Linked DNA regions of Caenorhabditis elegans. The protein of the gene in region 3 purifies or fractionates together with the protein of the main gene of each other region. This does not show direct contact. Each region holds a gene or a part of one and is shown on either strand. Other genes may lie near its edges. The genes, in order: sec-16A.1, sec-23 and tfg-1.

Region 1 (9,017 bases), on a different chromosome or scaffold from region 3:
TGAATAAAATTACTGAAAACATTTAAACTTTTCAAAAAAGTTGATATGTATATGGTCAAAAAATATTTATCAAAAAGCAACATTTTAGAACTGACAAAAAGACAAAATACTGACGGTACTCCATCTTTGAGGTCATCAATTTTCAGACTGCGCCCACCACTTCCTCCACCACTTACCATTTTCTGTCTCATTTGCTCGGCTTGTTGTCGCTTCTCCAACTCATTCTCCGGTTTCTTCTCAGACTTTGATCATCCTGATTTCGAAGCGAGAGACAAGTGCAGAACCACGTGGAAATTTGGATCAATCTACCGTAACCCATCTGTTCCATTCAAGAGAAACGAGTTTGTGAACTCATTCTGGAGAAAGCTTTCGATGGAACAATGGAAAAATACACAGCAGAAAGCGAAGATATCAGCAAACAAATCAGAACTTCAGGAACTTCATAATATTCATGTAAGATTTATTTTTTTAAACACAAGTTTAAAACTGAAAATAATTTCAGAACCACATTCGAATGATGACTTTGCGAGATTCATATGAAAATTCGGGTACACGAAAAGCTTCAGAACTTCAATTTTTCGAGAAATACCCAGAAAGTAACATTCTGAAGATTAGTGTGAACATGGTGTCTAAGCCATGGACAGTGCTTGTACCTAGATACAATCCCCCCTTCTATTGTAAGCCTGCGGAAGATTTTCCATCAGATGTGCAAAAGTATGTTGATATTGCCACGGAGCAAAATGTTGGAGAACTAAAACGAATTTGGAGAAGCCGTCAGGCAAATGATGTTACTAGTAGTAATGATAAATGTTGGAAGCTCTCAGCTGCCGGCTTCCCATTGAATCCGAATGGTCGAACTGGAATGGCTGGAAGAGGAAATCATCCGAGATTTGGTGCTAATCGACGTTGTTATTATGTCGTTTTGAGTGGTGGAGTTGAAGCGAAATGTCAAGTTCTAGTTGATAGTCAGAAGAATATTCCAAATGAATGGCATCTGGAGAACTCGTCGAAAGATGAACATCTGACATCTATTTTGAAGATGATTGGAATTTCAGATTCTGACGCTCATGTAAGTAACCAAAAAGATTACTTTTAAAAATTTGTGATGTATTTTCAGATGTTTTCAATGCGACGTTTGGATAGCTCAATTATCACTGCGGACAAAAGAATACCATCCAATGACACGAGTCCTGCTCATTTGGCTTCAGAAGTTGCAGAAAATGAAAACGATACAGACAACGCGTGGACGGAGCATGATGTTTGGGCTATTTCTCTCCGAGAACGACGTATAATAACCACAATTATCGGTTATTCGTGGCTTCCTACGAGTGCAATTCGTGGAACAGTGCTTCCATGGCAAGCAGATCTTGTTTTCCGAGCAAAGACAATATACGGGTTATAATGCTACAACTTTCATAAATTATGAATTCACTTAAATTGTTATTCGATGTTTGTTTTTTAAAGCTGATAGCTAAGAGATAATTTAATAAAGCTTGGAAGAATAAAAATAAAGCACTCACCAAAACACATATAATGAGAGGCCTAACAAAAAATGTAGGGGTACTGTAGCAGTTTTGAAACAAATTTTTCTAAATATTGTAGAGCGATTGTTGGTTAGGTTTGCGGAGTGTTGTGCAGTAAAACTGTAAGAACTGTCGCGAATGCGGAGAACCAAGAATACTTCTCCTTGTCGCCACTTTATTACTTAATATTATTTCCTTTAATTTAACACAATTATTATGTATATTCATTAATTAATTATCGTCATCTTCCTTGTTTTTCCCGTTATTTTTGGTCCGTTTAGGTGTGACACGGAGATAAAAGATACCTTAGCAAAATAAGTTCTTTTCGTGAAAAAACAAATCTTCGTATTTATTAAACAACTTTGTTTCTGTTAACAAATAAATAAATCCTTGCTTTCGATTTTACGATTTTGTGGCTACGGTACACAATGTTCACTCCGCAAGCACCGAAACTGACGACAGTTTTTCTATCAGTTATTTTTTTCATTCAACCTCGAACTTTTTTCGCGTTTATTCATTTCTCGCGTGAACTTTTTGTCTTATTTTATTTTTAAGCTTGGCTTCACGTGGCACCGCGCTTTTAACACATCCGTGCGGCGTTTTGAATTGAACTTTAAATTGGAAATTCCCAAAAACCCACGATTTTTATGGATTTCGAATGGAAAATGCGGCGATACAGGGTAAGATTTCCCAAAATTGTAATTTTAAATCTTAAGGCCATTAAGAAAACAAGTAAAAACCGAATTTATTTTACCATTTGGAAGAATAAAAAACAAAATTCATATCATTTTCCCATTCACTTTCACCTGTTCGTATCACTTCCAACAAAGGAAAACTGAACTATTCTTGTTTTCAATTTTCCCATTTTCCCATATTCCCCACAGCAGCCCTTTCCGTGCATTTTTGCGTCGCCGTGTTGGCACTAAAGTGACACGGTTGACCTCAATTTGCCCCTTCTTTTCTTTTCTTCCCTTGTCTTCTGCCTCTCTATATTTACCCAACAGACTTTAACATCTCGACACTTAACTTGTATATTCGCCTAATTTATTACAGATCGATTCTATGAAGTATGAACAACGAATGAATGCCGGAGGTATGATAAAATTCGATTTATCAACAATTTTTATCAATCACTATTCATTTTCAGCTTCTGGTTTCGATATGAGTGACTGGAATAATCCTTACAATGCTTCACCTCCGTCTTCTAGAGGAGGCGATGATGACGCTTCATCCGTTAACCATTCAAGGTCAGTGAATACAAGAATTTCACACGCCGATCGATATCTTTTCATCGCTTTTTTTTCAGGCCTCGACGCAGTCGGCTGGACAACGATATTCCACAACCAAGAAGACCCATTCTTATTCAACCAGCTCGCCCAGTATCTCAAAAGAGTAACCGGCAGGGTACTGGAATGAGTAATGGTTCAAGAGGCCTCAACTCAACTTTCAATGGATATGACCGTACTTATTCAAGGTTTAAAACAAGGGAGTTTCTTCTTCTAATTATGGAAATTTGCAGATATCACCAAAACTCTTCACGTGGCCCAAGCGAAGGTTTCTCTGGTGCTCCTTCAGCTCGAAATGCATCTGGATATGCGAGTGATTACGCGAATAGTCGTGCTGGTGTGGGATTGCTGCCGAACAACCACCGTGAGCCTGTGAGACCACGATCAACTGCTGCTGAAAGATATGCGAACGCATCTTCAATGAGAAATGGTTTTGTATATGATAGTGGAGAGTCTGATAAGACTTCAGAAGAGCTGGAAGAAGACGAAGAAGAGGAAGAAGTACGAAATTTTTATATGGAAGGACGAGCACAAGGCTCCAGGAGTGTAACAAATACCCTTGCCTCTGAAGTTTATAATAGCGAAAGTGAAAGCTATTACTACGGAGTTGTGAAACTTGGCTCTGCTATTGTTGATCATGTGTTCCGAACGATGCCTCCTCCGGAAAAATACTATAAGATGCCGCCAATCGACCGTGTCGCTTATGTATTCTACTGTGCCGTTAATAACAAACCTTACAACAATATTGATGAGTTTCACGTAATTTTTAATCGTGAATTCTACTCCTACCGCGGGTATGGTGATTCTAAAGATCTGGCACTTTTTAAGGTAAGATTACTGACAAAATTGAATTGCTTCATATTTTAAATTACAGGTTTGCAAGCGGATGCAAGAAGAATTCTCCCTGAAGCAACTGGAAGCCGACAGATTGGCGTACGAAAAAGCACGACAAGAAGCTGCAGAGAGCGAGAAACTGGATTTCAATCAGTGAGTATGGAACCAACGGTACAATGAGCAAAAATATTATTATAGGCATAAAATCGAGGAACGCGAAGAGCCAAAACTTAACATCTCGCAACCCGAAGAAGTGTTGAGCAACGGACCACTTCATTATCACTCCTGCCTTCAGTTTGCTACCATTGGTGTTGGAGGAAAATTGGTGATCATTAAACCAGCGGGAACCATCGATAGTATCACTGGACATGTTCTAAGTACATCCAGCGTTCATGTGGATGATCTGAAAACATTTCTTCATTTCGATGAACAATCTGGAAAAGTGATCGAATCAGTTCAGAACTTTAAAGGACCACTGATTGCTGGACAAACTCCAACTCATTCCGTTCGTCTCTACATCCAACGACAAATCGACGCTCTTCGCCAGATCAGAAATGCTGGTGACGTAAAGAAAAGTGAGGTGGTGGATGCTCTTCTCGTCTGGCAATTGCTCGAAATCATGGTTCAGCAACATGGAGTAAGAATTGTTTTAATTTGAGAACTTAGTAGGAATTTAACATTTTAAGAGAGTCACCGGACCCGATGTAGCAACACTGCTGACAAATGCCTCGGAAGAACTTGGTGAAAAAACTGGAATTTCAAGCAATGGGACATCCGAGTCTGGTTCGAAGTTCGAAGCAAAGGAGCGGTTCAATAAGTATCTTCTTGGTGGTCACATTAATGTAATTTTGTCTAATCTTGTTAATTAAATAATTATAATTTTTCAGGAAGCTGTTGAAAGTGCTATAACCGATGGACTCTATGCCGACGCAATGACATTGATCCGTAGACTGCATCCAAATGACGCTAAGAAAATTGAGGAAATCGAGGCACGATTTATGAATCTTCGTTCCATTGACGATCCATTCGCAACACTGGTTGCAGTTTCAAGTGATCAACCACCTCCGATTCTGACGAATTCGGCGTTCGATGATGACAACAATTGGAAACGACATGCGGCCATTGTTCTTGCGAATCTAAACTCGCAGACCGCTATGCAAACGGTACGGCAGGAGAAAAGCAAAACTAAAACTGTAAAATTTTTTTCAGATCTATCATCTCGGCTTGCTCCTAGCAAAAAGAGAACGAAACTGTGCTGCTGATTTCTGTCTCCTTGTTGTATGCATTCTGGCTGGTTATGATCCATTTATTCCAGTGGCTCACGACGGAGATGAAACTTCGAGAAAGCACATCGGCCTTGTGCATAGTGGATCTAACTTGTTGAATCGAGTTGATGGACTATCAGGAACCGCTGGGTAAGATTACTTAACACAATATGCATAACATAAAACATGCTTTTCAGATTCTCATTCACTGATCTTCATGCTACTGATATTTTTGATTATGCTCTCCGACTGGGAAATAACAATGTCGATTCACCACTAGCAAAATCGATTGATTATCAGTTAGCTCGTATTGAATACGCAAAGAAGCTGTCGTCTTTTGGTGGATTTGCTACGGATGCGTTCAGATATTGTACAGAAGTAGCAAGATCGTTGTGGATGTATGTCGCAGCTTTCGATAAAAATGCAATGTTTGATCTTTGCGATCTGGCTGAGAGTCTTCAATACATGGCTGCCGCAACTCCTGATGAAAGTGGTTGGATTACAACTATGAGAGGAATGCTAGGTGCAGCTCCAGTTCAAGAATCTCAACAACATGTTCCACAGCCACAACCAGTGGAAAACAAATCTATTTCGTCTGAAGCTAAAAAATGGCATGATGAGCATCAAGCGCCGCTGGAGATTGGATCACGTAACGATCAACAACATAACGATAAAACTGTCGAGAAACCAATTGCACCCGGACGTGCTTCTTTGCCTCCACCTACCCTGGTTACTGAATCGTCATCTGAATCGACATTTACAGATAAATCCGATTCTTCGGTTACTGTCGCTGCGTCAGCATCAAGAACTTCAACGTTGACCTCATCCACTTTACCACCACCACCATCCCTTCCAAAAACTATCGAAAAACCAATCTCAACACCACCACCAATTTCTAAAAATGTTGTTCCTGAGATGACGCCTCCAGCGATTGTGAAGCCACCGATGCCAACGTTATCGATGCCTATTCCACCTGTCAGTACTCCAATCATGGTATCACCTCAACCTATTCCTATTCCGAAACCTGTTGACGCCAGCATTGCAAAAAGTCCTCGTTCGGAACTGGATGATTTATGGGACACTTCACCGCCAAGCAATCAAACTTCATATCCACCTGCACCGCGAAATATTCAACCATCTTATTCGCCTGCACCTAACTTTGCAAACCCAACAGCTCCAAGTGTACCAACACCACCACCAGCCGTTTCTTCTGCTCCGGTTCTTCAACAAGCAACACTAGGACAAGCATCTATTCCAAATGCTAAAACTGTGAGTTTTCTGTGAAACCTTCAGAATGACAAGTAATTATTTTTAATTATTAAAGACTGCGCCGCCTGTCCCACAGAAACAACCTGAACTTGCATTGAATGAACGAAAAGCATCTAAAGGATGGTTCGGATCGATTAAGGAAAAAGTCATCAAATCGATTCCATCAGCAAACCAAATGATCCTGCCTGACGATTCAAAGCCAAGTGTATGTTAATTTGAAAGCCGATTTTTTGAATATCAAATATTCATTTGTTCAGATCGTTTGGGATCCTGTTCAGAAAAGATATGTTGGTGCTGGAGTAGAAGAAGAGGTCGTAGCTGCTCCACCGCCAGTCATGTCAGCTCCTCATTTGATGGGTGGAGGTCCTGATTCTAACAAATCGAGCACGAATAGTCTGCGAAGTGCTAGAAGTGGAGTTGGATCACGATATCTTCAATCGGGAATGGCCACTAGCCAAGCACCAGCTATGGACACTGGAATGCCACCGATGATGCCTCCAACCATGCCAATGTCATTCAGCTTTATGCCTGCACCCACTGAAGGTATAATTAATTGAGAATTAGTTTTTTCTTCAATTAATTTCATTTTCAGATGATTCCTCCGAATATGTTGATCCATTCAGCGGTGAACCAACGGCTCCTTCCGAATCATTATCCAAACAGAATAACGATTAATATGCTTCAATTCTTCCAAATTATATGTGTTGTCGTCCCCATCGCCTTTTGTATCCCCCTCCCACCCACTATCATTCTTTCAAATAACCATTTCCTGTTATCTGGTCAGGCCCGTTTCCTCTAAAAACTTCTGTGATTATTCCATAGTATCTTCCTTCTTTTTTGTTGTGCAACTATATATGTTACGGTTTTATCTGAAAAATAAGTAGGCTAGTTTTTCTTTGTTCTGACGAGAAAATATGTGCTCTGAATTGATTCTCTGGTAAATAAATATATACTGAAATGAATAAATATAATGTACCGTGAAATCACTATTTGAATTTTACATTTGAAATCGAATTAAAAACAAAACAAAAAACTAATCGAATACCATTATTTCGCAAATTCGAAAATGTATCAACTGGACGTGAGTTTTCTCTTAATATTTCTGATTGATGTTCGAATATTTAAAGTCTTGGTACTCAGTGCTCTTCGAGCTTCTTCTCGTCGGTTTTTCTCTCTACAACTCGCTCAGAATGACTACTTGGTGGGATACCGTAGCCAGTAGGTCACAATTATTTTCAGGCAGTTTCCAGAAAAAAGATTTTCAGAAGGAGCATCTATCGCAGTGAATGGAGCAGCGAAACATTCACCTTCGGTCGCTGATCACTACGGTATTCGTACTGATAAAAATAGTGTTAGAAGCTATAGAAAGAGTAGCGTCGTGAGTTTTATTGAGACTAATTGAATAAATGTGTATATTTCCAAAATTTCAGAGATCACCAATTACGTTCGAAATGGGAGATGGGATTGAAGTAGCTCACTGATGGATCGTAATTTATTGGAAAAATGACGTTCAGAATAAATTTGATATTGATTAATTTTTGTCCACATTCTAGTAGGCCAGGCAGGCGAGGCGTGCGAGGACGCCTCAGGCAAGCACAAAGAAGAAGAATAAACAGGCATGTAAACAGTAGGCATGCAGAAGGCGTGTAGGCATGAACATAGGTGTGAAACTTTCCTTTAACATATTGTTGTGTTCAAAACTTTGTATCGCTTATCAATTTTTACAAAGGATTCTGTGATGTTAATGTGAAATGATAAATTTAACAATCAAATTGTTTTTCTCCTGAACCCCCTGGAATGCCTATAACCAAGTAAACTAAAAGGTGTTTTAGCCCCCTTCACTTCTCTTTCCCTTCCATTACCTCTTGTTTCTGCCTTTTAATCCAACTTTCCACAAGTTGCTCCCCTTTTTTCCTTTTTTTCCATAGCCACTTTGCTGTCATTGAAGGCACCTTTTTTGTGTCACACTCCGCCCATTTAGGGTGAAAAGTTCGGAGAGTGTTTTCCTTTTTTTAGTTTTCAGCATTGTAGGTTTCATTTAATCTTTGATATCATCAGAGCGTCTAGTTGTTATCCTTATAAACTTTATGAATTGTTTTGTCTTATTCATAATCCGTCTGAATTTTTGTTGATTTAGATTTTGCTCCGATGCGAATACTGTACGGTATCCGGTTTCGACACATCAAATTTTTATTAAATGCAAACGGTGTGCACCTTTGAAGTGTACTGTAATTTTCAATCAACCATGTCTGTGGAATTTTCTATGATTTTTCACTACTTGGAAAGTGAGATATAATTTTTCTCGAAAAAAGACTTCCAGCTTGAGAAACTCAAATTTGTTTCAGATTGTAAATCTCCAAAAATTGAAGAAATTTCTGAAAAAATGCAGTCAAACCTTTGCAAAAACAATTTCCTATTGTCATTTTCCCGATCATATTTCCTTGTTCATCAATTTCACTCTTTGCTTCTTCCGTTTCGACTTGAATTTCCTTCAATGTCATTGGATCTTCTCCACGAAGAAATCAAAACCATAGTTTTTATTCCCTTTTTCATTTATTTTCTCTAAAAACTAAAATCATAAAAACAGCAAATGAAAAAAGGAAAACACTGGTTGATGATGATGATGATATGAGGGATATCTAGTAAAAGAGGATGCGCTAATCCGATCGTTGTGCTTAAATCTGAGCAAAGTGGAGGAAAGAAGAGAGATAGAAAAAGAGCCATCAACACTCATTTTCACTTTTTTTGACATTCATCATAATCCCTGATACTGGTGGACTTCTTTCGGATATTGTTTTTTACATTTATTTCGAATTTGTCATTTTTTATAAGCCCAGGTT
Region 2 (6,693 bases), on a different chromosome or scaffold from region 3:
CGCCGCTGCGTTTAACTCGATGTGGGCGTGGCGAGCTGTCTCCGCCCGAGATTTACAAGATTTAGGCGCTGTTAATTCAATTTTGGGCGCTGCTAAACTACAAACTACAAGTTTTGGGCGCTGCTAATTCAATTTTGGGCGCTGCTTAGACTACAAACTACAATATTTAGGTGCTGCTAATTCAATTTTGGGCGCTGCTTAGACTACAAACTACAATATTTAGGTGCTGCTAATTCAATTTTGAACGCTGCTAAAACTACAAACTACAAGATTTAGGCGCTGTTAATTCAATTTTGGGCGCTGCTAAACTACAAACTACAAGTTTTGGGCGCTGCTAATTCAATTTTGGGCGCTGCTAAGACTACAAACTACAAGTTGTCGATTTTTGAGTGGAAAAATGTAATTTTCAGATAAATATCGGTACTATTGTGCGAAACTTGACATTTTTCTTTGCTTTTGTGCCTAAAATTGCAGATTTTCAGAGATATTTTGCATTTTTGGTGATTTTTGACGGAAATTTCGGTAAAATCTTGATTTTGCCATTTCCGGACAATTTTAGAGAGATTTCACGTTTTTTAACTACAATTTGCGATTTATTGGGCGAAAAATCGTCATTTTAGAGTGATTTTGCTTTTTTTTTCAGCGAAAATTGCAATTTTCCGGTAGAAAATCCGATTTTCTACCTCCAAATCATCTCCAGTCAAATCCCGGACAGATTTCAGGCCGTGGCGGTGACAAATAGCGAGAACATAGAGATTTTCCAAGGTTTTTCCGTCCCATTTGATATCCTGAAGAAGTACGAAGCCATTTTCATTGTCGGGGTCTTCGAACACGATTTTATCGACTTCCGAGCGCTTTTCCAGGCAATTGTACACCCACTGAAACGAAAAATTGATTTTTGAAAAAGAAATTTCGAGCGGAAAATCGCATTTTCTCATTTAAAATTGTGCGATTTTCAGTATTTCTACTAATTTCCGAATTTTTATTCACTTTGAACGCTAAAAACTCTGAAAAACAGAGAAAATCTACGAATTTTTAATGGTTTTTGTCAATTTTTTGCAGAATATTCTCATTTTCTGTCTTGTTTTTCACTTAAAACCAAAAGAAAAATCAAAAAATTCGAAAAAATCGAAGAAAAACGAGTGAAAATCGATAATCGTGATTTTGGGCGCTGCTTAGACTACAAACTACACGTTTTGGGCGCTGCTAATTCAATTTTGGGCGCTGCTTAGACTACAAACTACACGTTTTGGGCGCTGCTAACACTACAAACTACACGTTTTAGGCGCTGCTAATTCAATTTTGGGCGCTGCTAAGACTACAAACTACAAGATTTGGGCGCTGCTAATTCAATTTTGGGCGCTGCTAAGACTACAAACTACAAGATTTGGGCGCTGCTAATTCAATTTTGGGCGCTGCTAAGACTACAAACTACAAGTTTTGGGCGCTGCTAAACTACAAACTACACGTTTTGGGCGCTGCTAAACTCATTTTCTTGGTATTTTCTCCGATTTTCTTCATTTTTTCGCTGCTTACATTGAGATTCAGCTGATATTTCTCAATATACGGCCTTGTAACAGTCTCATAAAGCTCTGGAGTCTCTCGAATCACGAATTTCTCCTCCTGACGGTATTTTGCAATGAGACGATCGTTTATCGGGTAGATTAGTTGAGATTTTAGCACTGAAAATTGAATTAAAAATTAATTTAAGCAAGATTGTGTGGATTACAATTCAATTTGGGATCGATTTCTATATTATAGGACCCGAAAATGTCATTTCTGGAGATTTCTTGAAGCTGTGCAGTCGCCAGAAGCTTCTCGATATCGGATTTTTCTTCGGAAAACGGAGACTTGTTGGCAAGCAGAATGCCTTGAGATCCATCGGGATGGGAGAGCAAAACGAAGAGAGACTGGAAGAAAATATTGATTTTTATGATTTTTAGGTGAAATTTATTGTTTCTTAATGCAAAAAATTCACTTTTTATTGATTTTCTCACCTTATGCGACGAATCAGCGCCTAAAATCTCTTGAAACTTGGCATCCTGCAGCCATTTCTGTGTACTCTCCTCTGCACGCTCCTCTCGCACAAGTTCCTCGTCGGCGATCCGTTTCATACTGAAAAATCGAGATTTTCACTTATTATTCACCAAAAAGATACAGAAATTGCAACGAAAAACGGTAGAAATCGAGAAAACCAACTCAAAAAACATTTTCAAAAGTGTCACGCATCGTAAAACAACACACTGGCCGCGGCCTAGAAAACTCCAATTCTTTTCTCGGCCATCTTCCTCCACGTGTACATTTTCTGTTGGAATTTTGCAGATTTTCACTCGTTTTTCACCATTTTTTCTGATTTTTCTTGCTAAAATATTGAAAATAAGTCGATTTTTATTGATTTTAGTGTAAAAATCATAGTTTTCACCTTGCATATGTCGAAAAAATGACGAAAATTGATTGGGCAACCATAAAAACCCAAAAAACTCGATTTTTCGCTATTAAACGTGATTTTCAGTGTTTTATATTAATAAAATTAAAATTTAATGGTGAAAAACCAGAATTTCACACGTAATCCACGTATTCTCCTCGTTTTTCATCATTTTCCGCGATAAAAAGTTCATTACCAGTTTATTCCAGTAAAAATGGCCACTTGGGAAGAATATTTGGGTGCTCAACAGGCGAACGATGGCGTCCAATTCACGTGGAACATGTGGCCACACAGTCGAGTGGATTCTCAGAAGCTTGTCGTCCCGCTCACCTGCTTTTTCACGCCGCTGAAGGTAAAACTGAGGCGCGGAAACTGGATTTTCTTCGAATTTTTCGTGGAATTATTGAATTTTAAGCATTGAAAATTGGATTTTGTAGCTGCCGAGCAGCGCCAAAAGCTGAGGAAAAGCCTATTTTCAGCAATTTTTCTTCAAATCCATCGAAATTCCATCAATTTTCTCCGAATCTTTGCAAATTTTAGTGGATTGCTTCATTTTTTGCCAGAAATTCGTTATAATCTTCTAAAAATTCAAATTTGGTAGCTGCTCGAGCCGATCGGCAGCTTCGAAACACCGAAGGCATGAATTTCAGCAATTTTTCGATTAAAAACGCGATTTTTTTCTCAATTTCCATCGGAATTTCTGCATTTTTACCTTAAAAAGTCGGTAATCTCTGCAAAAATCGTAAAATTCCGCTGAGAAACGCAAAAAAAAAATTCAATTTTGGGCGCTGCTTAGACTACAAACTACAAGTTTTGGGCGCTGCTAATCCAATTTTGAACGCTGCTAAAACTACAAACTACAAGTTTTGGGCGCTGCTAATTCAATTTTGGGCGCTGCTAAACTACAAACTACACGTTTTGGGCGCTGCTAATCCAATTTTGGGCGCTGCTGAAACTACAAACTACAAGCTTTAGGCGCTGCTAAACTACAAACTACAAGCTTTAGGCGCTGCTAATCCAATTTTGCGGAGTTCAAGCCGATTTTAAGCTGAAATTTCACGATTTCTCATCAAATTTCTCTCAAAAACCAAATTTTTTTTCCAGGAGCGCCCATCAACAGAAGTCGCCCAACCACCACTGGAATATGATCCGGTTTTGTGCCAAAAAGCCAGCTGTAAAGCGATTTTAAACCCACTTTGGTGAGTTTCAGGCCTTTTTTTGCCCGATTTTCACCCCGAAAAATGATGCTTTCAGCGCCGTCGATTATCGCGCCAAAATCTGGATGTGCCCATTCTGCAACAATCGGAATCCGTTCCCGGCTCATTATGCGGCAATTGCCGAGGATAACCGCCCGCCGGAGCTCTATCCACAATTTACAACCATTGAGTACACGCTTCGAGTGAGAAAATGCTGAAAAATCCGAGTTTTAAGCCAAATCTTTATTCCAGAAAGCCACCACAATGCCGCCGATCTTCGTTTTCGTCGTCGACACGTGTATGACTGCAGAGGAGCTGAAATCGCTGAAAGAATGCCTTCAAGTACGGGACAAATTGCAGAAAATTGAGAAAAAAACGGCGGTTTTTTAAAATTTTCGCGGAAAATTGCTCGAAAATTCGTCGGTTTTCCAACTCAAAATTTGTGATTTTTTCACTCAAAAATGGGAATTTCTGCTGAAAAATGGGAATTTCTGCTCATTTTCGCTTGAAAATTCGACTTTTTTAAACATAATAGTGTTATTTTTCATGAAAATTGGCAATTTTTGCCGTAAAATTCAGATTTTTGGGCAAAATTTCCCAATTTTTCCAATTTCAGACTGCTCTCTCGCTGCTCCCAGCCGATGCTCTCGTCGGATTGATCACCTACGGTAGAATGGTCCAGCTGCATGAGCTCAACACTCAGGGAATCTCGAGAAGCTACGTTTTCAAGGTAATAAATTGCAGGGAAAATTGGATTTTTTGGGTTAGAAGCCTGAAAAATGCCGAAAAATGCCAAAAAAAAAACACTAAGTAAATGCAAAATGAATAGCGAAAAATTAGAGAATTATTGAAAATTCTCGGATTTCAGTGAACAATTCGAACAAAACAAGACTATACACTTTTTAATTCAATTTTCCATCCAAAATCTTATAATTCTATTCATTGGTTACTAGTATAGTAATTCAATTAAATAATGCGCTCAATATGCTCAATTGACCAGTTTTCTCGAAAAAGTAGGATTCTTCATTAAAAATAGATGTTAAATTAAATGTTATACTATATATATAGTTGTTCTGAAACGTTAAAGCTCTAAAATGCGGAATAGTTAAAGGTGGTGTCGTCGATTTTTTTCAAATTGCTTTATTTAGACTCAAAATTGTCTGAAAACACCGAATTTCATAATAAAACTTCTTGAAAACTTTTCAAAAAAAGGTTATGACGGCTCAAAAAATGGCCTAAAATTAGTTAAAATCGGAAATTTGACTAACTTATCAATGTCGCAGCGGCTGGAAATTTTTTTTTTTGAAATCATCGTTAAATTTTGAGTTTACAAGTTGATTATCTTGCGTTTTAAACTTGATTAAGCTATTTAAAAATCGATGGACGGCGAGTTTATCGATAAAAAAAATTAAAAATCTCGCCGTACATCGATTTTTAAATACCTTAATCAAGTTTAAAACGCAAGATAATCAACTTGTAAACTCAAAATTTGACGGTGATTTCAAAAAAAAAGTGTTTCCAGCCGCTTGACAAGTCGGTCAAATTTCAAATTTTAACTAATTTTAGGCCATTTTTTGAGCCGCCATAACTTTTTTTTGTCAAGTTTTCAAGAAGTTTCATTATGAAATTCGGTGTTTTCAGACAATTTTGAGTCTAATAAGGCAATAAAAAAAATTCGACTACACCACCTTTACCTATTCCGCAGAGCTGTAACGTTTCAGAACAACTATATATATAGTATAACATTCAATTTAACATTTATTTTTTATGAAGAATCCTACTTTTTCGAGAAAACTGGGTCAATTGAGCATAAGTAGCGCATTATTTAATTGAATTACCATACTACTAACCAATGAATAGAATTATAAGATTTTGGATGGAAAATTGAATTAAAAAGTGTATAGCCTTGTTTTGTTCGAATTTTTCACTGAAATCTGTGAATTTTCAATAATTTTCGACTACACCACCTTTAAGTTAATAGGTTAATTAACGACTATACACCGACTATACACTTTTTTATTCAAACTTCATAAGACATATTGAACATGTTATTATTATTATTATTATTATTATTATTATTATTATTCAGTTGTATTATATCATTAATATTATTTAATTAGATGAATAATAATAATACAATTAACAATACAAATAATAATCATCATCATCAGTAGTAGTAGTAGTATTAGTGTGTTTGTAGCCAAAGAAGATGTCATTTTATTTTCCCATAACAATATTTCCGCCTATCCGATGCAATCGTTTGTCTGGCAGCGGGAAAATGGTCAGCGGAAGTGAGGAAATCTGGAAGATACGGAGCCCATATATATCAACTTGGAACGTTTTTATTCGGAAAACAGCGGAAAATCGGCGAAAAAACATGCAAAATATGGGTATTTGGAGGGTGGTGATGGGAAATAAATTGCACACGAAAAATGGGCAGCAAAAAATAGTGAAAAAGCAATCAATAATCGTCGAAACTCACGCGTTGATGATGTGGCGGGGAAATTTGATAATAATATGAGTTGTCGGGAGCCGCCGACAAACGTCGTTGATACATCTCGAAGTCCAGAATATCGGCCAACCGACGCATCGAAGCTTTTGCCTTTGCGTTGAGCTCAGAATAGGCGTTAGTGTCGAAGGCGGCGGTCGGAGAGTTGTTGACCAAGGTTGATGAGCAAGTGGAGATCAGAATCAGTAGGATTGATAGGAGGAGGATTGGGAAGAAGTGCATTTTGGCTCGAAATTTGGAGCTTTACGCTGAAAATAAGGGGGTTTCGTGGAGACGAAAAGACGACGAAAAAGTTTGGTTAGAAATGAGAGAATTTAGGGTTTTTCCTACTGTAAATGGGAGAATTTGAGTAATTTAGTGGGAAAATTGTGGAAAATATGGGGTTTTTTGGTTGCTTTTATTGGTGAAAAACTAGAGGATGATTCACGTGGTGTTACACAAAAAATGGCGGGAAAAATATTTTTGAATATTTGTGACATTCACAGCGCATTTGGAGAATAATTTTTTTCAAATTTAAGCGTCGATTTTTGGCAAATTTTCAAAATTACACAAAAATCGATCGA
Region 3 (7,543 bases):
AGAAGTCTCGGCAGTTGCTGACGTTCCCACAACTCGTTAAAACACTGATTGATGAGCAAACGGTACGAATTCGAAGGATTTTGAGTTGAAAATCTGGTTTTTTGGAGGATTTTGATCCGGAAAATGTTGATTTTTGACGAATTTGAGTTAAAATTCGTCATTTTCCAGTCGAAAAATCGATTTTTTACCCCTAAATCTCGGTGAGGCTTACCAAACAAACTACAAAATCGGTTTAGCCTCAACCAAATTTGGTTGAGGCTAATGAGAGTTGTAGTTTGTAGTCTGAGCCTCAACCAATATTTCTAATGCTTTTTCGGTTGAAAATCGGGATTTTCTGAAGGACTTTGACACGGAAAATGTCGATTTTTGAGTATTTTTCTTGGAAATTTGAAAATTTGGAAATTTGAAGGAAAATTCGAATTTTAGCGTTGAAAACCTATAAATTTGAAGGATTTTATCCTAAAATCAGCATTTTCTAGTTGAAAAATCGATTTAAAACCCACTAAATCTCGGTGAGGCTTACACTACAAACTACAAAATCGGTTTAGCCTCAACCAATTTGGGTGAGGCTAATGGGAGTTGTAGTTTGTAGTCTGAGCCTCAACCAATATTTCTAATGCTTTTTCGGTTGAAAATCGGGATTTTCTGAAGGACTTTGACACGGAAAATGTCGATTTTTGAGTATTTTTCTTGGAAATTTGAAGGAAAATTCGAATTTTAGCGTTGAAAACCTATAAATTTGAAGGATTTTATCCTAAAATCAGCATTTTCTAGTTGAAAAATCGATTTAAAACCCACTAAATCTCGGTGAGGCTTACACTACAAACTACAAAATCGGTTTAGCCTCAACCAATTTGGGTGAGGCTAATGGGAGTTGTAGTTTGTAGTCTGAGCCTCAACCAATATTTCTAATGCTTTTTCGGTTAAAAATCGGGATTTTCTGAAATTTTTATGGATTTTTTTTAGAAAAAAAATGCTAAAAACGATCAATTTTTCTAAACAATTTGTTGTTTCCTTCCTTAATTACAGATAAAAAAGAAAAAAATTGTATTTTTCGTTAGGTAAGGCTCAGGCTACAAACTACAGAATCTGCCTCAACCACAATTTTTTCCTACGTTTTTGACGATTTTTTTGGCAAAACTATGCCAAAATTTGAAGTTTTCGCCCCAAAAAATGGCATATTTTTGCACTAAAAACTCCATTTCCCACTAAATTCCTATTGATTTCTTTCAGATTGACATTCGATTCGCGGCTCCACCACACAAAGGAATCTACACGTACAATTTGTCGGTCAAATCGGATTCCTATATGGATGCGGAGTATAGTGTTGATTTTAAGGTGATTTTTGATTGAAAATGACGGATTTTAATGCGAAAAATTGTAAAAAATTATATTTTCAGGCGAATTTCTCCTCAAAAAATCCATTTTCGACACAAAAAGCAGCAAATTTCTCAACAATAAATTCAAAATTATTGCAGATCGACGTGAAAGAGGCGAAATTCGTCGAAATCAAGCACGACGACTACGTGGATGAGGACGATGAAGCCGTCGAAGTGTCGTCGGACGATGATTATACAGAAGACGATGACTCGGATGAAGAGTAGCGAAATGCTCCAACAATTGCTCTCCAAATTATTCGTTAATTTATTTTTCAATTTTTCTTCAGTGGCCCCCCATTGTTCTCCCGCACTTTTCTCCAAAAAAATTTCAATCAATTTCTCTACTGGGTTTTCTGTTCTTCTAAAAGTAATTAAATTAAATATTTTATTTAAAAAAATTTGTATGTTTTCGTGTTCCCTATGCATTATTATTTCTATTCCCTTCCCACCAATCACATCACTTTTGAAAATGTTTCCTCTACATAGTTACATGAAATTTAGACCCTTTTTTCTATGCTTCAATTAAAAAGAATTTCAGAGACAGGAGCCCGAGATTTTTTAAATTCATATCATAAATATTATATACCACTAAAAAAAGGAGAAAGAGAGAGAGAAGACGACAAGAATTGATGTGAATTCCACGTGGAAAAGAGAAAAGGCGCTCCAGCGCTATATCACAAGGAAACAGGGGCGAGCGAGTAGAAAAGGAAACTTGTACACTAGGGGGGAAGGACGGGGGAAAACATAAAATATTTAAATTATGGGAATCAAACAAACAAAGAAGAAAACATCAATAAATTATCGATTAATTACTGCTGATACGGCGACTGGCGGTATCCCGTGGCAGATGGTCCTCGTGCGAATGGATTTCCTCCCGGGGCTCCGGCGGCTCCCGGTGGCGGTGCTCCGACTGGTGGGAATCCGGTTGGCGGTGGTCCGTAGGCTCCTGGGCCTCCTGGAGGTGGTGGTCCGAATCCTCCTGGGCCTCCTTGTGGTGGTCCGTACGATCCTGGGGCTCCTGGGCCTCCTGGCGGTGGTGGACCGTAGCCTCCTGGGCCTCCCGGCCCCTGTGGTGCTCCGAAGGCGGATGGTGGTGGAGCAAAAGCGCCCGGTGGTCCCGATTGTGGTGGAGGGGCAAAGTTTCCTGGAGCACTTGATACTGGCGGCGGTGGCCCTCCGAACGATTGTGGTGATGGAGCATGGAATTGCTGGGGTGGTGGAGCTCCGAAGGATCCTTGTGGTGGTCCTCCCTGTGGTGGCCCTTGTGGCGGTGCTCCAAATCCTTGCTGGGGAGCTCCCTGCGGTGGTGGGGCTCCGAATTGCTGCTGCTGCTGCTGTGGTGGAGCATATCCTCCATACTCTGATGGTGGTCCAGACGGTGGTGGCCCGCCAAACTGCTGCGGTGGAGCAAATCCTTGCTGCTGCACTGGAGTCGACGAGATCGAAGAGTGCGACGCCATCGGTGGTGGTGGAGCCTGGAATTGTTGCTGCTGCTGCTGTGGAGGCGGTGGAGCAAACTCCTGAACTGGTGGGCTCGCCGCATTCGACGTTGGGAACGACGGGATCGTCGCGTTCGGTGGCGGAATCGCTCCGAATTGCTCAATTGGTGGCGGTGGCTGGGAGCTGAAGCTAGTGTTCAGATCATCGGGAATTTGCTGATGTGGTGGTGGAGCATAGTGATTCTCCAACGGAATCTCCTCCTCAACGTGCGCCGGGCGATGATTGAATTGCTCGTGAACCGACGGTTGGATCGTCGCCGGGAGCTCGGCCTTCTCGGAAGGCACTGGCGATGGTGGAGCCGCTTCGAAGCTCTTTTGGAACACAATATTGTCGTGGTGAGATTGTTTTGGAGCCGAGAGATTCGCCACCGATGTGTTCGATTGTTCGGCGATCTGGGCAACGTCGAGAGCACTGAGAGCGCCAAGAAGCTTTCCAACATCAAGCTGAAAGAAAAATTGAATTAAAATTCGTTTTTCGCTAGCTGTAGTACTAGAAATTCCAATTTTTAGCCATTTTGTGTTAAAAATATTGAAAAAAAAAACCGATTATTTGGATAATTTTGTTTAAAAATCAATGAAAACGCTGAAATTTCTCCAATTTTTCAGTGAAAAACCAAAGATTTTGTGAATTTTAAAAACAAAATTGGTTGAGGCTCACACTATAAACAAAAAAAAGCTGCATAGCCTCACTCAAGCTTTAGCTAATTTGGTTGAGGCTAAAGCTACAAACTACAAAATCACCATAGCCTCACTCAAGCTTTAGCTAATTTGGTTGAGGCTAAAGCTACAAACTACAAAATCACCATAGCCTCACTCAAGCTTTAGCTAATTTGGTTGAGGCTAAAGCTACAAACTACAAAATCACCATAGCCTCACTCAAGCTTTGGCTAGTTTGGTTGAGGCTCACACTACAAACTACACTTGTTTCTTAGCCTCAACCAACATTTTTCAGTGTTTTTCCGGATTTTTTTTTGTCTAAAAAGCTCAAAAATGCAGCATTTTCGATGAAAATTCTGCAACATTTTGCATTTTCCCGCTCAAAATTGCGCTTTTCAGCTCAAAAATCGTTTTTTTTCGCTCAAAATCCTCCTTACCTTAATCTGCTCGACTTGCTTCTGCACATCGTGCACAGCCTCACGAGCTCTCGAGTCGACAACGACGGTCACGTCGAGCGTGGCTCCAGACGTGTGAAGAGCCAGCAGGAGGTCGCTATCCTCGGCGAGTGTCACCAAATCGCCTTCTAAAATTGACAAAAATTGAATTAAAATCGCAATTTTCAGTGCAATTCCTACCTTCATCCTTGTACTTCAACACGAAATTCGCGTCGGATGGGAGAGCCAAAAGCCGCTGCACATTGAGCACGAGATCGATGAGTGTCAAGTCGTTGGCGTGGTGAAGTGACGTCTTGCGGACGACGTCGGCGTGACGAGCCTTCAGAATTGTGCTCGTGATGGCTCCGTTTGAATGCACCATCTGGAAAAAACGGGGGTTTTTTAAAGGGAAAATTGGGTTTTGCGGGAGAAAAAGAAAGAAAAAAGCAAAAAAAAACCGGCGAAAATCAACTAGAAATCAAGAATTAAACACAGAATCCGAATTTTGGTGAGGCTCAGGCTACAAACTACGAAATTGGCTCAGCCTCACCCAAGTTTATCCGGAGCTCATATTTTTACGAAAATTTTGGATTTTCATGTGTTTTGACAGGAAAATTCGACTTTTTAGTTGAAATTCGACCTAAACGAGATCAAAGTTTCAAAATTAGAGCGGGAGTAGGCCAAAAATATGGTTTCATCGATTTTTAGGCGATTTTCCTATCGAAAATCTAAATTTTCGGCTCTAAAACCCACTTGAAACGCTATTTTCTAAGATTTTAAAGCAAGAAACCGGCAGAAATCAAGAAATAAAATAGTTCCACGTGTAATATAATAAAGCAATTCCATCGGAATCTCTAGATTTTCGCGGGTTTTCGGTATAAAAATCGGGATATGGCACATAAAATAAGTAAAGATCACGAAAATAGATCAAAATCTTCAAGATAATATTGAAAAAATTGCGAAACTAGGTCTAAAAAAATTCCACACGGATTTTCATCGTTTTTTGCCGGTTTTCTGGGGTTTTTTTATGGTGAAAATATCGATTTTAACCTCTAATACTCACTTTTCTTGCTATTTTTATGGATTTTCTGCAAGAAAACCAAGGAAAAATGGGAAAATAACGGGAAGAAAAACGATCCAAATCCGCGATATAAAATTCCACGTTCGGTAAAAGTGCGCCGCAGTTGCAACACGCGTGCCAGGATTGCAAATAGGGTACGCCCCCCGGCTAGACTCCGCCTTTTCAGTTATTCTTTTCGCGATTTTTTGAATTTCAATAGTTATCGTGTGGATTTTTCGCGTTTTCTGAAAAAATATGATAAAATCCTCTAATTTCAGCTCAAAAATGTCGAATTCTGACGATGAAATACAGGAAATTGAGGCTAAACGACAGAAAAGTAAGGCTTTGCAGCTGGAAATTCAAAATATTTGAATTTTAAATCAAATAAAATATATTTCAGTGTCCCAAGAAGATTCCGAGGTCGAAATCGAGATTCTAGATGAGCCGGAGCAAGGAAAACTGAAAAATTCGTCGAGTAAACCCGAAAAATCAATAAATTAAGGCGAAAATCCGCGATTTTTCAGTGAGCGACGAGCAAAAACTGCATGAATTTGCAATAATCACGGCCACAGATGAGGCTTTTGCGCAGTCGATTTTACAGGATGTAGACTGGGATTTGAAGAAGGCTCTGGACGTTTTTTACGGGAGTGAGGCGTTCGCAGAGGCCAGAAGTGCGGCCGTAATGGGCGCTTCATCGTCTATGGCGAGCTCTGGAGCTGCGGTGATGACGGCAGAGGATTTGAAGGTTAATAGAAGAATATTTGGAGCAAAATCAAGCCAAACCACCTAAAAACATCGATTTTCGAGTTAAAAAACCTCAAAAATGCTGCAATTTCCGTAAAATTTCAGTGATTTTTCACAGAAATCATTGAAAATTTGAAAAAAATCACTTTTTCAACCGGAATTCCGAAAAAAAAAATTGGTTGAGGCTCAGGCTACAAACTACAAAATCGGCCGAGCCTCACCAAAAATTTCCAAAGCGAAATCTGGCGAAAATACTTGAAATTTTCCTCATTTTTTATCAAAAAAACTAAAATTTCCATAAATTTTCATAGATTTCCTTCAAAAATCAGTAGAAAAACTAAAAAAAAATCACGCTTTCAACCGGAATTCCGAAAAAAAATTGGTTGAGGCTAAGACTACAAACTACAAAATCGGTATAGCCTCACCAAACATTTCCGAAGCATAATACTCGAAATTTCCCTCATTTTTCTTCAAAAAAGCTCAAATTTCCATAAAATTTCATGAATTTCCTTCGAAAATCTTTAGAAAAACTGAAAAAAATCACGCTTTTAACCTGAATTCCGAAAAAAAAATTGGTTGAGGCTAAGACTACAAACTACAAACTCGGCTTAGCCTCACCAAAAAAAAATTCACTTTTTTCGCGATTTTTCCAACAAATTTCAAATTTTTTCAGGGATTCGAAGTCAGCGTAATGTCGTGGAACATTGATGGGCTCGACGGGAGAAGCTTGCTCACAAGAATGAAAGCAGTGGCTCATATTGTCAAAAAGTGAGCAAAATCGGCGATTTTTCACGGAATTTTCAAATTTTTAGTTGATTTTGATGCAAAATCAGCAAAAAAATCACTAAAAACCGTCAAAAATCTTCAAAAATCAACCTGAAACGCCAAAAAAAAATTTCAGCGTCAATCCGGACATCCTATTCCTCCAAGAAGTCGTCGACCGTGATTTGGCGCCGATTGATAAGCTTCAATCGCTGTATAAAATCTATTATTCGAACAAAGGCTGCCAATATTATACGGCGATTCTTGTGTCGAAAATGTTCGACGTCGAGAAGCATGACGTCATTCATTTTCAGAATTCTGGAATGTACAGAACTTTGCAGATTTTGGAGGGATCTATTGGCGGTTTGAAGGTTAATTTTTCAGAAAATAGACGAAATTTTAAGAAAAAATCCCGGAAAACCGCTAAAAATGAGTGAAAATGATGGTTGAGGCTACCCAAATTTGTAATTTGTAGCCTGAGCCTCAATCAATTTTTATCGCAATAATCGAATTTTTCAGTTTTTTACTGAAAAAAAAGATTTTTTGAAAAATTCTCGCATTTTAATCCATTTTTTCAAAACAAAATATAAAAATTCCCGTAAAAATCAATCAATTTCCGCAAAAAATACCTTAAAATCGAGCAAAATGTATATTGGTTGAGGCTAACCACATTTGTAGTTTGTAGTGTAGGCCTCAACCAATTTTTCCCCTCAAATGTTTTCCCTCTTGTTTTTCTTGCAAAAAACTTCAAATTTTTACAGAAAATGGGATTTTCCACTGAAAAAATCTAGATTTTCAGGTTTTAAAATCAATTTTCGGTCAAATTTTACGGAAAATCCCTATGTCTTCCTGAAAATCTCTTTTTTGTTGTAAGATTTTCGAGATATAATTGATTTTTTTCAATCAGAATTCTGCAATTTCTAGCTGAAAATCACAGTATGTAGTGTGAGTTCGAAAAAAATTCGTTGAAACTTTGGTGAGGCTAACCAAATGTGTAGTTTGTAGCCT

What was found.
Region 1: the proteins of tfg-1 (region 3) and sec-16A.1 purify together in Caenorhabditis elegans (affinity purification with western blotting; one study listed by BioGRID). This does not show direct contact.
Region 2: the proteins of tfg-1 (region 3) and sec-23 fractionate together in Caenorhabditis elegans (co-fractionation; one study listed by BioGRID). This does not show direct contact.

The regions. Positions count from the first base shown.
Region 1 is NC_003281.10:9,123,651-9,132,667, forward strand, and holds sec-16A.1 (Protein transport protein sec-16A.1), read left to right. Parts: upstream 1-2,188; coding exon 2,189-2,203; intron 2,204-2,576; coding exon 2,577-2,616; intron 2,617-2,670; coding exon 2,671-2,770; intron 2,771-2,829; coding exon 2,830-2,997; intron 2,998-3,042; coding exon 3,043-3,637; intron 3,638-3,683; coding exon 3,684-3,796; intron 3,797-3,841; coding exon 3,842-4,280; intron 4,281-4,329; coding exon 4,330-4,485; intron 4,486-4,530; coding exon 4,531-4,806; intron 4,807-4,852; coding exon 4,853-5,058; intron 5,059-5,105; coding exon 5,106-6,177; intron 6,178-6,232; coding exon 6,233-6,382; intron 6,383-6,434; coding exon 6,435-6,720; intron 6,721-6,769; coding exon 6,770-6,852; 3' UTR 6,853-7,157; downstream 7,158-9,017. Other genes in the region: Protein ced-11, read left to right, coding at 147-453, 503-1,069, 1,118-1,402; ZK512.10 (DUF4752 family protein), read left to right, coding at 7,244-7,258, 7,305-7,395, 7,443-7,555, 7,608-7,658. UniProt on the Caenorhabditis elegans protein: Plays a role in the organization of the endoplasmic reticulum exit sites (ERES), also known as transitional endoplasmic reticulum (tER).
Region 2 is NC_003283.11:20,088,629-20,095,321, forward strand, and holds the start of sec-23 (Protein transport protein SEC23), read left to right. Parts: upstream 1-2,634; 5' UTR 2,635-2,639; coding exon 2,640-2,777; intron 2,778-3,529; coding exon 3,530-3,624; intron 3,625-3,679; coding exon 3,680-3,824; intron 3,825-3,873; coding exon 3,874-3,963; intron 3,964-4,237; coding exon 4,238-4,351; intron 4,352-5,624; exon of another isoform or gene 5,625-5,838; coding exon of another isoform or gene 5,839-5,922; intron 5,923-6,082; coding exon of another isoform or gene 6,083-6,352; exon of another isoform or gene 6,353-6,380; intron 6,381-6,693. Other genes in the region: dcs-1 (m7GpppX diphosphatase), read right to left, coding at 684-878, 1,537-1,682, 1,730-1,910, 1,998-2,114; nlp-69 (Neuropeptide-Like Protein), read right to left, coding at 5,839-5,922, 6,104-6,352.
Region 3 is NC_003279.8:14,098,855-14,106,397, reverse strand, and holds tfg-1 (Protein tfg-1), read right to left. Parts: upstream 5,077-7,543; 5' UTR 5,033-5,076; intron 4,352-5,032; coding exon 4,171-4,351; intron 4,119-4,170; coding exon 3,973-4,118; intron 3,323-3,972; coding exon 2,189-3,322; 3' UTR 1,928-2,188; downstream 1-1,927. Other genes in the region: dnj-29 (J domain-containing protein), read left to right, coding at 1-62, 1,234-1,338, 1,479-1,604; tdpt-1 (5'-tyrosyl-DNA phosphodiesterase), read left to right, coding at 5,315-5,366, 5,430-5,504, 5,554-5,774, 6,447-6,541, 6,675-6,906.